2 linked regions of the Macaca fascicularis genome follow. The protein of the gene in region 1 interacts with the protein of each later gene in a biochemical or structural test. Links are inferred from orthologs where the notes say so. Each region holds a gene or a part of one and is shown on either strand. Other genes may lie near its edges.

Evidence for each region.
Region 2: of the proteins of KAT2A (region 1) and H2BC21, one has a biochemical effect on the other in vitro, tested with the Homo sapiens proteins (2 studies listed by BioGRID). The link is inferred for Macaca fascicularis from reciprocal best matches to the Homo sapiens genes KAT2A and H2BC21.

The regions. Positions count from the first base shown.
Region 1 is NC_088390.1:63,158,003-63,165,085, reverse strand, and holds part of KAT2A (histone acetyltransferase KAT2A), read left to right. Parts: intron 1-288; coding exon 289-470; intron 471-570; coding exon 571-762; exon of another isoform or gene 763-953; intron 954-1,603; coding exon 1,604-1,710; intron 1,711-1,915; coding exon 1,916-2,026; intron 2,027-2,119; coding exon 2,120-2,256; intron 2,257-2,337; coding exon 2,338-2,546; intron 2,547-2,772; coding exon 2,773-2,899; intron 2,900-4,063; coding exon 4,064-4,174; intron 4,175-5,900; coding exon 5,901-6,044; intron 6,045-6,332; coding exon 6,333-6,447; intron 6,448-6,542; coding exon 6,543-6,579; intron 6,580-6,659; coding exon 6,660-6,723; intron 6,724-6,857; coding exon 6,858-6,942; intron 6,943-7,083. UniProt on the Homo sapiens protein: Protein lysine acyltransferase that can act as a acetyltransferase, glutaryltransferase, succinyltransferase or malonyltransferase, depending on the context.
Region 2 is NC_088375.1:111,386,712-111,393,866, forward strand, and holds H2BC21 (histone H2B type 2-E), read left to right. Parts: upstream 1-3,737; 5' UTR 3,738-3,779; coding exon 3,780-4,160; 3' UTR 4,161-5,440; downstream 5,441-7,155. Other genes in the region: H2AC21 (histone H2A type 2-B), read left to right, coding at 2,503-2,895; H2AC20 (histone H2A type 2-C), read right to left, coding at 3,056-3,445. UniProt on the Homo sapiens protein: Core component of nucleosome. Nucleosomes wrap and compact DNA into chromatin, limiting DNA accessibility to the cellular machineries which require DNA as a template.

The DNA.
Region 1 (7,083 bases):
GATAGCGGAGAGGAGAATTGGGGACAGCTTGGAGGAGTGGGGAGCCTGTGTTCTCCATCCTCCTCAAGCTGAGAACAGTGGGGAGGTTCAGAGAAGGGAGGGTGTTTTGTGCTAACCTCAGGGTGGGCATGGTGGTAGGGAGGGGGCAGAGCTTTTCTATAGAGAGCACCCGAGAGAGAGAGGAGAACCTTGTCCCTGGCCTCAGGGAGCCTCTTCCTTTGTCTAAGAAGGCCCTGCAGGCTGCTCACATCTCATTCCTGGTTTTGTTCCCCACCCACCCCTTCTCAGGGTGTGCTGAACTTTGTGCAGTACAAGTTTAGTCACCTGGCTCCCCGGGAGCGGCAGACGATGTTCGAGCTCTCAAAGATGTTCTTGCTCTGCCTTAACTACTGGAAGCTTGAGACACCTGCCCAGTTTCGGCAGAGGTCTCAGGCTGAAGATGTGGCTACCTACAAGGTCAATTACACCAGGTAGGCCCAGCCAGGGGCAGCTTAGGGGGAGGCTGGCAGGCCCAGCCTGGGTTCAGTGGTTTCCGCCCTCACCTGTCTCCCCCTCAACTCCCTACTCCAGATGGCTCTGTTACTGCCACGTGCCCCAGAGCTGTGATAGTCTCCCCCGCTACGAAACCACTCATGTCTTTGGGCGAAGCCTTCTCCGGTCCATTTTCACCGTTACCCGCCGGCAGCTGCTGGAAAAGTTCCGAGTGGAGAAGGACAAATTGGTGCCCGAGAAGAGGACCCTCATCCTCACTCACTTCCCCAAGTAAGGCTCCTTCTGGCCTATCAGGATTTGGCCCCAAGTTCACATCCTCCCTGTTGTCCCCTTTTTTCCAGGAAGGCTTCCTGGATTGGTCCCTCCTCTCCCTCCATGGGCCTTCTGGGATCTGGGCGTCTACCTGGCAGACTTGCCCATGGCCCAGAAGCAACTTGCTAGTACTAGTCTGGGGATGGCAGGTACATAGCCCAAGCTAACGCTGCCCCCACCCCACCCTACGCCCCGGTAGATGTTACTAATTGTTTCCCATGGGGGCCTGGACACAGCCTCAGACTCCTTCCCTGCACAGCTCTCCAAGAAATCAGAGCTTATGCTTGAAGTGAAACCAATTTCTACTCCTGTTCTGGTCTTTTCTGTACAATTTTCTTCTGTTCGGCCACACCTTTTAAAATCTGGGTCATAACTCCCCTGTTCAAAAAACCCTCACTGACGAATCCTGGCTCTCTAGTGCCCTCCGCCATCAGGTGGGAACAAGAGATGGCAAGGTGGGGTGGAGTCTGAGCCCATTGTGATACTGAGGGCAGTGAGGGGATTCAGGGTGACAAGGTGCCCTCCCTGGCCACACAGCACAGGATGACATCAGCTCAGACCTGTCTCCCTGTGCTACACAGCATGGTGAAACTGAGCTTCTTTGATCTCTGTCCTGGATGTGTCCTGTTGTCTTACCTTCAATTGGAGGCTCCCAGAAGACAGGGGCTGTCCCCTCTTTCAGGTCCCCAGTTCCCTAAGAGCAGGGTCTGCTCTGACCAGCCTCCAGTCCCTCTGCCGCCTGGCCCAGGCTGCACCCTTGGAGAACAGAGTTGTGGGACAGACTGTGTCCTCCCTACAGATTCCTGTCCATGCTGGAGGAGGAGATCTATGGGGCAAACTCTCCAATCTGGGAGTCAGGCTTCACCATGCCACCCTCAGAGGGGACACAGCTGGTACCCCGGCCAGGTATGTGCCATGGTATGCTCTGTAGGGTGTCTGGCCTGCCTGGCTGAGCTAAGCCTCCTGGGTGGAAGAGGGCTCAGCTGGGCCAGAGGCCCTGGATCCCACTGAGGGACCTGTCACCAGCTTCAGCCCTCCCGTCCCTGACTTCTCTCTCTCTCTGTCTCAGCTTCAGTCCCCCTGTCCCTGACCTCTCTCTCTCTCTCCTCAGCTTCGGTCAGTGCAGCAGTTGTTCCCAGCACCCCCATCTTCAGCCCCAGCATGGGCGGAGGCAGCAACAGCTCCCTGAGTCTGGATTCTGCAGGGGCCGAGCCTATGCCAGGTAGATACTTGATCCCTGACCTCTGACCATCATTCACTCCTTCCCAAACCTTTTTTTACTGATCCTGACCAACCTTGCCTGCCTCCGCAATAGGCGAGAAGAGGAAGCTCCCGGAGAACCTGACCCTGGAGGATGCCAAGAGGCTCCGTGTGATGGGCGACATCCCCATGGAGCTAGTCAATGAGGTCATGCTGACCATCACTGACCCTGCTGCCATGCTGGGGCCTGAGGTGGGCAGCCCGACCTGCTGACCAGTTGGGGGACCCCCACCAACCTGAAACCCCAGCTCACCGCCCCTCTTCTGTGCCCAGACGAGCCTGCTTTCGGCCAATGCGGCCCGGGATGAGACAGCCCGCCTGGAGGAGCGCCGTGGCATCATTGAGTTCCACGTCATCGGCAACTCGGTGACGCCCAAGGCCAACCGGCGGGTGTTGCTCTGGCTCGTGGGGCTGCAGAATGTCTTTTCCCACCAGCTGCCACGCATGCCTAAGGAGTATATCGCCCGCCTCGTCTTTGACCCGTGCGTCCCCCAGAGAGCCCCTCCCCCAGGGCAGGACCCCCGGGTCCCTTCCTCCTCGGCCTCTTGACTCCTCAAAATTGGAGATCCCCTGCTCCCCACTTCTGAAGTTCAACCTTTGAGCATTCTTATTTCTCACTGCCCAACCCTGACTACAGTTCAGACTTCCAGGGCTCTGGGGACCTGAAGGAAACAGGCAGGGGCTGTGACGTGCCCACCTCTCTCTTAGGAAGCACAAGACTCTGGCCTTGATCAAGGATGGGCGGGTCATCGGTGGCATCTGCTTCCGCATGTTTCCCACCCAGGGCTTCACGGAGATTGTCTTCTGTGCTGTCACCTCGAATGAGCAGGTCAAGGTGAGTGCCGCTCCCCAGCCCACGGCTCGCTCCGGAGTTTGGGCCAGCTCGGAGCAGCGGGAGGTGTGGGATGCAGCAGCCCCTTGCTCTTCTCTTAGTGGCCCGTTCCTCACATCCCCACAAGGTGGCAGCCGTACTTTGATAACTGTGGATTAGGAAACCACCTGTTCACAGACAGAGCCCAAGAAGCGGCCACGCTTTGGTGACCTGTGGACTAGGATTTTCTTCATCACAAGAACATTTACATACATGGGGGAATTAATTACTTTAATTTTTATTTTTTATTTATTTTTTGAAACAGGGTCTCTCTCAGCCAGGCCGGAGTGCAGAGGCATGATCAGGGCTCACTGCAGCCTTGACCTCCCAGGCTCAAGTGATTCTCGTGCCTTGGCTTCCCAAGTAGCTGGGACTACAGGCATGCGCCATTACATCTGGCTAACTTTTGTGTTTTAGTAGAGACAGGGTTTTACCATGTTGCCCAGGCTAGTCTCCAACTCCTGACCTCAAGTGATTCACCTGCCTCGGCCTCCCAAAGTGCTGGGATTACAGGTGTGAGCCATGGTGACCAGCCGAACTAACCGTTATTACAGTAGTCCTATGCTGATAGCCTTGGCTTCTGTCCTTTGTTACAACAGACCCCCTCGTAGGGTCGCTGGCTCTGTGTGTCACATACCTCAGATCTGCGTGGCGCATCGTTGGCCCTGATGTGTGGGAGCCATTGCTCCTGCTCAGGCCTCTGGTGACTCCCTCTCCCTCCTCTCCCAACTCTGAGGCCCAGGGACTGAGAATTGCTGGCCTGTGTTGGGTTTGGACCCGGCCCTGCCACGGCTGGCAGCCTGACCTTGAACGCATTTCCTAACATAGCTGAGTTTCAGTTTTCTCTTTTCTAAAATAGAGGTGGTACTACTCGCCTCTGGGGTTGAGAATCGGTCTGTAAAACAGGAAGCACTGCACCTGGCCCAGAGTGAGCTTAGAAAGCCTCTACCTTTCACTTTCTCCCATAAACTCCCCTCCCTCTGTCAGCTGCCTTTCTTTCTCTTTGCCTGGATGCTCTCCCTTTCCCCACCTCCTTTCCAATCCACCCGCTCCACTCTGGGCTCTGAGACCTCTCCAGCACCAGGCCCATCCTCAGCTCCTGGTGAGTCCTGCTCCCCTCCCCCACAGGGTTATGGGACCCACCTGATGAACCACCTGAAGGAGTATCATATCAAGCACAACATTCTCTACTTCCTCACCTACGCGGACGAGTACGCCATCGGCTACTTCAAAAAGCAGGTGACCCGTAGCCTTATCCCACACTGGTCCTTTGCCTGAAGCCTGGGGTCATTCTGTCCAGCCCCTCTGTTGATGGAGTAGGAGTCCCTTTATGTCCCCTACTTCACCTGACACCTGCCAGGAAAGTCTCCATGCCTATCTTCTTTCCTCTGCTGCCACTGCCCCAGGGGAGAATGGGGGCCTATGGGGCCAGTAGAGCAGGCTGGAGGAACTGGGGGGCCAGTAGAGCAGGCTGGAGGAATTGGGGGGCCAGTAGAGCAGCCTGGAGGAACTGGGGGACCAGTAGAGAAGGCCGGAGGAACTGGGGGCCAGTAGAGCAGGCTGGAGGAACTGGGGGGCCAGTAGAGCAGGCTGGAGGAACTGGGGGGCCAGTAGAGCAGGCCGGAGGAACTGGGGGGCCGGTAGAGCAGGCCGGAGGAACTGGGGGGCCGGTAGAGCAGGCCGGAGGAACTGGGGGGCCGGTAGAGCAGCCTGGAGGAACTGGGGGACCAGTAGAGCAGCCTGGAGGAACTGGGGGGGCCAGTAGAGCAGGCTGGAGGAACTGGGGGGCCAGTAGAGCAGGCTGGAAGAACTGGGGGGCCAGTAGAGAAGGCCAGAGGAACTGGGGAGCCAGAGCAGGCTGGAAGAACTGGGGGGGCCAGTAGAGCAGGCTGGAGGAACTGGGGGGCCAGTAGAGAAGGCCAGAGGAACTGGGGAGTCAGAGCAGGCTGGAGGAACTGGGGGGCCAGTAGAGCAGCCTGGAGGAACTGGGGGGCCAGTAGAGCAGGCTGGAGGAACTGGGGGGCCAGTAGAGAAGGCCGGAGGAACTGGGGAGCCAGTAGAGCAGGCCGGAGGAACTGGGGGGCCAGTAGAGCAGGCCGGAGGAACTGGGGGGCCAGTAGAGCAGGCCGGAGGAACTGGGGGGCCAGTAGAGCAGCCTGGAGGAACTGGGGGGCCAGTAGAGCAGCCTGGAGGAACTGGGGGGCCAGTAGAGCAGCCTGGAGGAACTGGGGGGGCCAGTAGAGAAGGCCGGAGGAACTGGGGGCCAGTAGAGCAGGCTGGAGGAACTGGGGGGCCAGTAGAGCAGGCTGGAGGAATTGGGGGGCCAGTAGAGCAGGCTGGAGGAACTGGGGGGCCAGTAGAGAAGGCCAGAGGAACTGGGGAGTCAGAGCAGGCCGGAGGAACTGGGGGGCCAGTAGAGCAGCCTGGAGGAACTGGGGGGCCAGTAGAGCAGGCTGGAGGAACTGGGGGGCCAGTAGAGAAGGCCGGAGGAACTGGGGGCCAGTAGAGCAGGCTGGAGGAACTGGGGGGCCAGTAGAGTGGCCTGGAGGAACTGGGGGGCCAGTAGAGCAGCCTGGAGGAACTGGGGGGACCAGTAGAGCAAGCTGGAGGAACTGGGGGGCCAGTAGAGCAAGCTGGAGGAACTGGGGGGCCAGTAGAGAAGGCCAGAGGAACTGGGGAGCCAGTAGAGCAGGCTGGAGGAACTGGGGGGCCAGTAGAGCAGCCTGGAGGAACTGGGGGGCCAGTAGAGCAGCCTGAAGGAACTGGGGGGCTCTTCGGGATGAGTCAGGAGTGGGCAGCTGACCTGGGACCTTTCCAGGGACAGTTCAAACCCTCAGTGCCCCAGGAGGAGGTTCAGGAGCAGGAGGTGTCACATGGCACGTGCCACCCCTCTGGTGCTCCCAGGGGAGGGACTACAGAAGTTGGGAAATATGGATGGACTGGGTCATGACCATCCACCCCCCAGGGTTTCTCCAAGGACATCAAGGTGCCCAAAAGCCGATACCTGGGCTACATCAAGGACTACGAGGGAGCGACACTGATGGAGTGTGAGCTGAATCCCCGCATCCCCTACACAGAGCTGTCCCACATCATCAAGAAGCAGAAAGAGGTGGTGTGCGCACGTGCGCATCTGTGGGAGTTTTCATGAATGTGCATGCGGAGGGCGAGCGCACGTGTGTAGACCTGTACTACGTGTACATGCGTGTATGTGTGTGAGTGAGGAGGGGACAGGCCAGGATCTTGGTTCTTGCTCTGCTCCCTTGGGGAAGGTATGAAGGGAGGTGCTGGATTAGGTGGCATTGCATCTGGGTGGGTGCAGCTGGTGGCTCTGACTGTGGCCCTGGGAGGGGTTGTTGCTGGGGCTGGAGCTGGCCCCTTAGACCCTTCCTTCCCTCAGATCATCAAGAAGCTGATTGAGCGCAAACAGGCCCAGATCCGCAAGGTCTACCCGGGGCTCAGCTGCTTCAAGGAGGGAGTGAGGCAGATCCCTGTGGAGAGTGTCCCTGGCATTCGTAAGCAGAGGTCTCGGTTGCGGGGTAGTGGGGGCACGCTGCTTGGGATGCGGATCGGCATTCTTAGAGACATTCTCCCACTTCCCACTTTGCAGGAGAGACGGGCTGGAAGCCATTGGGGAAGGAGAAGGGGTGAGTGTTTTGTCAAAGGAGCCAGGTTGGGGGCGGGGCAGAGGGACTCGGAGCCTCAGACTTGGTGTGTCTCGCCCCAGGAAGGAGCTGAAGGACCCCGACCAGCTCTACACAACCCTCAAAAACCTGCTGGCCCAAATCAAGGTGGGGAGACCAGGTTGCCTTTCCGGGGCCCCTGCACCAATGGCTGTGGCCTCTTGATGCAGTGTGAGGTGGGTGGCGTTCTCGGGCTGGCGTGGGTGCAGCAGGGCTGTCCCCAGCTCGGCTCTTCTCTCCAGTCGCACCCCAGTGCCTGGCCCTTCATGGAGCCTGTGAAGAAGTCGGAGGCCCCTGACTACTACGAGGTCATCCGCTTCCCCATTGGTGAGGACCCTCCATTCCATCTCCTTCCCCCCTCTTCCATCCCCATACCTGCTCCTGCCCTCACTGCGCCCTGCAGCCCCATGGGGCCCACCCCGGTGGACAGCCCTGCCGTGGTCCTCAGCCTCTTAAAGCTGTGCTCCG
Region 2 (7,155 bases), on another chromosome or scaffold:
AGAACTTCCAGGACTGACTGGCTTCTTGGGGAGGGACCCATGCTAACAAAGTACACACGAAATTTATGAATAGTCCAAAATGCAAATTCATTGAATTCTATGATGAACATCTTTCTATAACTGGCTCCCCCTACTTCAGTCTTATGTGTTTATCTTGGAATAGAACAATCAGAAAGTTGTTAATTGAGCACAGAATCTGAATGAAGGAACTTGGATAGTCTTCAGAAATATTTCACCCAGGCTGTGAGAAAAGGCTGATGCTTTCATAACCAAGGACCCTTTTCTAGTAGGCCAAACTTTGCCTCTGCCAGATATATTTTATTGTTGGTGAAAACATAACATATTTCTACTACAATTGCCACCTGTTTGGACTCTATGTAGACTGCACCTTTCTGTTAACATTCATCTTCTCAAATGATATAATCAATTGGATTAGAAGGATCTTAGGTTACACCCTTGTCACCTCTGTCTGAACTTTGGTGTTCCCCAAATCTATACCAGCATTCTTACCAGGAGTAATCTCTAGACGTAGCTGATTTTAACTAATTTAACTCTCAGAGTTCACCAGATTTCCTCCATTTTCTGGAGGCATTTCATCACAGACTTGTTTGTACTACTTTCAATTATCTATACACCCATTGCCCAACAGCACACATCCAATAAATGCCAGTTGAATAAACTGGTGAGAATAAAGGAGGAAACATCAGAAAAGGTGTCAAAGAATAAGATTTAAGTATTTTCTGGCCGGGTGCAGTGGCTCACGCCTGTAATCCCAGAACTTTGGGAGGTTGAGGTGGGCAGATCATAAGGTCGGAGTTTGAGACCAGCCTGGCCAACATTCGAGATTTGAGATCAGGAGTTCGAGATTAGCCTGGTCAACATTAGTAGAGATGAAACCCCATCTCTACTAAAAATACAAAAATTAGCCGGGCATGGTGGTGGGCGTCTGTCATCCCAGCTACTTGGGAGGCTGAGGTGGGAGGATCGCTTGAACCCGGGTGGGTGGGGGCGGGGTAGAGGAGGTGGTGGTGGAGGTGGCAGTGAGCTGAGAAGTGCTCCAGCCTGGGCGACAGAGCGAAACTCCGCCTCAAAAAACCAAAAAAACCACAAGTCTATTTTTTCTCTCTATTATTCTACCTGACCTTAAGGGATACTAAGGAAAGGGTGAGAATGGTGTAGGAGATGTAGAACTCCCAGAGATGGGACGTTGAGGAGGAAGAAACACAAGAGCTTTCAGATTCATCTGTTATATGGGATAAAAGAAAAAAAGAAGAGCTTTCAGGAAAGATTTCTAAGGCCGCTGGAGTCACACCAGCAATTAATGCCTGACAGCAAAGTTACCCTTTCCCGGCTGTTGCTGAAATCTAAGGGATGATGATGAGGTGGACAAGGGAGCGTGGAGAAAAAGATTGAAGGGATATTAAGGAAGCAACTGACTGGACATGCTGAGACGAAGGGAAGAGTAGAGTAGATTTCGGCTTAGTTATCTGTAAGTATGCTGGCGCATTTCAGGAAGAGGGCAAAGAGGGGAGGTTGTTTGCAGGAGTTCGCGTTCGAATAGGCTGAGGTTGAGTTTGAGTTTGAGGTGCTCGTTGGGACAAGTAGTAGATTGAAGTATTCAGTAAGCAGTTAGGCACAAGGGTCTGAGCTTCTGAAACAAATTTGGATGTTAGTTGAAAGCATATAAATGGGTAAGACTCTTCGGGATAAGTGAAGAATTGGAGATAGAGAAGCAGAATCCAGCTGGACTCGCAGATTTAGAGATGGCATGGGGAAGCAGGATAAGAAAAGTCGGCGAGCTAAGAAGAAAAACGCAGGGCGACATTTTGAAAGCCAAGGGAGTAAGCTTCAAGGCCGCCTCCTGGAGGTCAAGAAGATGACAGATCTAGCCTTGGTCAAACTGAATTCCAAGGAGTGCAGGCGGGTGGGGGTGGGGCGGAGTCGCTGCGGGCGACTTAAGTTGAGGGGCGAGAAAGGAGGCAGCCTTAGTAGTACTTGTATTTTTAAAGGGAATTTGGCTGTGACGAGACAGAAAGGGCGGAACTTAGTAGTTTAGAGCTCAAGGGGATAATTGGCTTCAGAATCCCCTACTCTTGCGTGAGAGTAACTCTCAGTCTACGGATGTCTTCTGCAGTTTCTTAGGGTCCATGTTGGGATTTACCGGCTGTAAACTAAACAAAGCAAAGCAAAACCCCATAGTACAAGACATTTTGTTTGAAAGCCTACTTTCTTTAAAGATCCTGCCATGCAAATAAGGGGCTTTAATGTGGCTCTCAGCGATTGGTAGATACTTACGAAATCCGTCATTTCCTTTCAGGGCAGGATGCAAACCAAGAGGCGGCTTTCTGTTTTTCTATTGGCTGTTGGATACGGCTCCGCTTTTAGCCAATCAAACGACTTCCCTTCACCCCTCCCGGTAGCTCTTATAAATTACATCAAATTGGTTATTCTTTCCACATTCTTCTCCTTGTAAAAGAAGCTGTAACTGCAATTTTAGCCGTAATGTCAGGACGCGGAAAGCAGGGAGGCAAGGCCCGCGCTAAGGCCAAGTCGCGCTCGTCCCGCGCTGGCCTCCAGTTCCCGGTGGGGCGAGTGCACCGCTTGCTGCGCAAGGGCAACTACGCGGAACGGGTGGGGGCAGGCGCCCCGGTGTACCTGGCGGCGGTCCTCGAGTACCTGACCGCGGAAATTCTGGAGCTAGCAGGCAACGCGGCTCGGGACAACAAGAAGACGCGCATCATCCCTCGCCATCTGCAACTAGCCGTGAGGAATGACGAAGAGCTCAACAAGTTACTCGGGGGTGTCACCATTGCCCAGGGCGGCGTCTTACCCAATATCCAGGCTGTCCTGTTGCCCAAGAAAACGGAGAGTCACAAGCCTGGCAAGAACAAGTAATTAAGAGGCTTGACACCATACTCATTCACCCCAAAGGCTCTTTTAAGAGCCACCAAAGTGTCAAATGAAGGGCTGATCACGAAATAGCGCATTAGCTCTTTTTTTGAAAACTTGGGTGGCTCTAAAAAGAGCCTTTGGTCTTTGGTTTGTTTGTCTGCATTTATTTGCTTTTGGCTTTGTGGCTTTCAGTTTTCTTTGGTAACAGAACGGCCTGGATGTTAGGCAAAACGCCGCCCTGGGCGATGGTGACTTTGCCCAGCAGCTTGTTCAGTTCCTCGTCGTTGCGGATGGCCAGCTGGAGGTGACGAGGGATGATGCGCGTCTTCTTGTTGTCCCGAGCCGCGTTGCCCGCCAGCTCCAGGATCTCGGCGGTCAGGTACTCGAGGACCGCCGCCATGTAGACTGGCGCGCCAGCCCCCACCCGCTCCGCGTAGTTGCCTTTGCGCAGCAAGCGGTGCACTCGCCCTACCGGGAACTGGAGGCCAGCGCGGGACGAGCGCGACTTGGCCTTGGCGCGAGCCTTGCCTCCTTGTTTGCCACGACCAGACATGACTGAAACCAAGGTTAAACACAGACAATGCTCAGAACCTCGCTACAAAATAAGCTTGAAAGAGAACCAAGAGGAAAGCCTTTATAAGCTTTCCTAGGGGTGGGGTCTAGAACGAGTTTTTCATTGGTCCTAATATGGCTTCAGAACCGGCCAATCAAGTCAAGAGTCGGTGTTGTTGCGTACGCATTGCTGAAAACGCAAGGTCCGCACACGGACCAATGGAAATGAATGACTTTCGGAGCCCTAATTTGCATAAGGTGGTTATAAAAGAATCAGGCCCGCCCATTCTCTTACTTCTTTTCTTGGCTAAGCCGCGTTTGTACTGTGTCTTACCATGCCTGAACCGGCAAAATCCGCTCCGGCTCCTAAAAAGGGCTCCAAGAAAGCCGTCACCAAAGCCCAGAAGAAAGACGGCAAGAAGCGCAAGCGCAGCCGCAAGGAGAGCTACTCCATCTACGTGTACAAGGTGCTGAAGCAGGTCCACCCCGACACCGGCATCTCGTCCAAGGCCATGGGCATCATGAACTCCTTCGTCAACGACATTTTCGAGCGCATCGCGGGAGAGGCGTCCCGCCTGGCGCACTACAACAAGCGCTCCACCATCACGTCCCGCGAGATCCAGACGGCCGTGCGCCTGCTGCTGCCCGGCGAGCTGGCCAAGCACGCCGTGTCCGAGGGCACCAAGGCAGTCACCAAGTACACCAGCTCCAAGTGAGTCCCTGCCGGGACCTGGCGCTCGCTCGCTCGAGTCGCCGGCTGCTTGACTCCAAAGGCTCTTTTCAGAGCCACCCACCTAATCACTAGAAAAGAGCTTGTTCACTTACTCCCTTAGTTTCTTCTCATAAAGTAATTTTAGCGTAAAGGTCATGGGAAATGCCACACGTAGGTTTTTAACCATTTGGAACTTGAGGTCCCCGGTGCATGATTGGATTTGCTTTTGAATCTAGAGCGTGTCTTCACTCATTGTGCTGCTTAGCATTCCCAGGAGTCGGTTCTCAATTAGGATGTTGGGAATCCGCCTCTTTACCCGCCCCCACTCCCGCCCCACACTGGCGCCCTGGTGGCTTCTTGGGTCTGTTTCATTCTAAAACGAAGTGGCTGAGTTCGGCTGTTATTTAAGAGAACTCCAGGGCACGATTCAGCCCAGGTTCCGCAAACACTGCGTGACAGCTGTGTATGACTGACGCTTGGCAGCACCTTTTGTGTCCGGTCACCAGTTCTGCTGTGCGATGGGGTCTCCTGTGGATACCAGCCGTTCTGTGTATTTTGGACGAAGCCCGCGCAGCCGGGTCCCAGCCTTTTCCTGATTGGGCGACATGAATATTCAAAATTCTGCGCCTCTTTCTAATTTGTAGATTTCAGTTTCCGTCGTTCACTTTGAGACTTTGAAATTCCTATTTCTCGTTTTGTTGATAATTTTTGCATTTAATGGTCTCTGCTTTAAAGGGTAAGGCTGCGGCCCCAGGTCACTGCGAGGCACTTACCGTGTAGATACGGGCTCAAAAGTCACCTGTCAGAGATCTACGTCATCCACTAAGGAATTCGCGCCGCTCATACTTGCCTGTCTCATTTTATCTTCCTTCTAGCAGCTGTCTGAAATTGGTTCGTCTGTTTTCTTGTTTATGGTATTCTCAAGCCCTTGACCGGCTGGTGTGGTTTTCCCGTGCATCTTCAGCCTGGCACATTATGGACACTTACCTAAATACTACGTATTGATGTAATATTGTTGGGTTAGTTTTTCCATCCCATCGTTTTCTTAATCGCTTTCGTGGATGGATGATGGGTGCTGTTCATTTCCGTTAGATGTATGTGAAGGCACGGTGAAAATGGAAATGTTTTTGGAGCTACTTCCTCAAATGTGTCCTTAGTCACCTCAGTGCAACAGCTGGGAGGGGGCCGTGTTAAGATTTTTTTTGCATCAAAGAGGAGGTGGCAATGGTAGATCCACCCTTACGCTTCCCAGTTTAGCATAACCTCTTTTGGATTTTCATCAAATTCAGCGTATTGGTCACTGGAAAGAGCCTTTTCCTTCTTTTCTTACTCTCCCCTCTTGGTGTTCCCCTCTTAAAGGAGAGGAGCTTTTAATTGACAGTCATCACCTCATTTTTTTTTTTTTTTTTTTTTTTTTTTTTTTTTTTTTTTTTTTTTGAGACGGAGTCTCACGCTGTTGCCCAGGCTGGAGTGCAGTGGCGCGATCTCGGCTCACTGCAAGCTCCGCCTCCCGGGTTCCCGCCATTCTCCTGCCTCAGCCTCCTGAGTAGCTGGGACTACAGGCGCCCGCCACCGCGCCCGGCTAATTTTTTGTATTTTTAGTAGAGACGGGGTTTTTTTTCACTGTGGTCTCGATCTCCTGACCTTGTGATCCGCCCGCCTCGGCCTCCCAAAGTGCTGGGATTACAGGCTTGAGCCACCGCGCCCGGCCATCATCACCTCATTTGCTTTCCAGGAGGCCATGCAAGATAGGCAGGACTACAGGGTTAATCTCCTTTTTACAAATGAGGCCAAGGGAAGCCTCATTGGTTCACAGTCATGCAGCTCATACTGTCCACCCTTGTATTCTCAGATGCAGGACAATTGCATTTTAGTTTTATTTTGTGGAGGTACAGAATATTTACTCTTTCTGTCCAACCCTTGATTCTGCCGAGGAAGACACTGATGGTTTGATGAGTGATTCAACTCTGTTTTTGGCTAAGGGTTTTGGAGTTGATAGCAGGGGTCTGATGAATCCAAATGAGCTCTAGACATTATCACAGACTGAATAAATCTTTTTTTTTTTTTTTTTTTTTTTTTTTTGAGACGGAGTCTCACGCTGTTGCCCAGGCTGGAGTGCAGTGGCGCGATCTCGGCTCACTGCAAGCTCCGCCTCCTGGGTTCACGCCATTCTCCTGCCTCAGCCTCCTGAGTAGCTGGGACTACAGGCGCCCGCCACCGCGCCCGGCTAATTTTTTGTATTTTTAGTAGAGACGGGGTTTTTTTTCACTGTGGTCTCGATCTCCTGACCTTGTGATCCGCCCGCCTCGGCCTCCCAAAGTGCTGGGATTACAGGCTTGAGCCACCGCGCCCGGCCAGACTGAATAAATCTTAACTGTCTCCTACATGTGTGTTTTCAAATGTGTGTAGATGCTATTGTTATTAATAAAGTTACCAATTAAAGGCTTTGCTGGATTCTTTTATCTACAGTATATATTTCTCAATGAAGGAAATTAACAGATACAACTTACACAGGGTCTATAGAAAAGCATGGGTGCCTCTGATCTGGGGGATGACTATTTATAAGCCACCAGCCAAACTGCTGCCCCAAAGGTGCACTAGGGCTGAAATAGTCGCTTACAAGGCCACTGTTAATGCTTAGTAATTGAAAAATATATGATCACAAATAGAAAGCAGTACAAATAAGATGGAAGAACTAAAGTTCATAATGAAGTTAAGCTAACACCTACGGAGCACTTACTGTGTGCCAGGTAGTGTTCTAGGCCCTTTATACATATTGACTCATCTAATTCTCACCAGGACCTCAGGAAGTAGTACCATTATTATCACCCATTTTACAGATAAGGAAACTGAGGCAAAGAGAAGCCTTTCTTCAGAAACTCTCCAGAGGATAAGCTCCTAGGTTAGCAGTTAAGGGACTTGAGAAACAGGGTCATTCTGAAAACCTGGACCCTTCCCTGTGTTTTAGGGGGAAATATCTATGCTTTAGAATTGAAAAG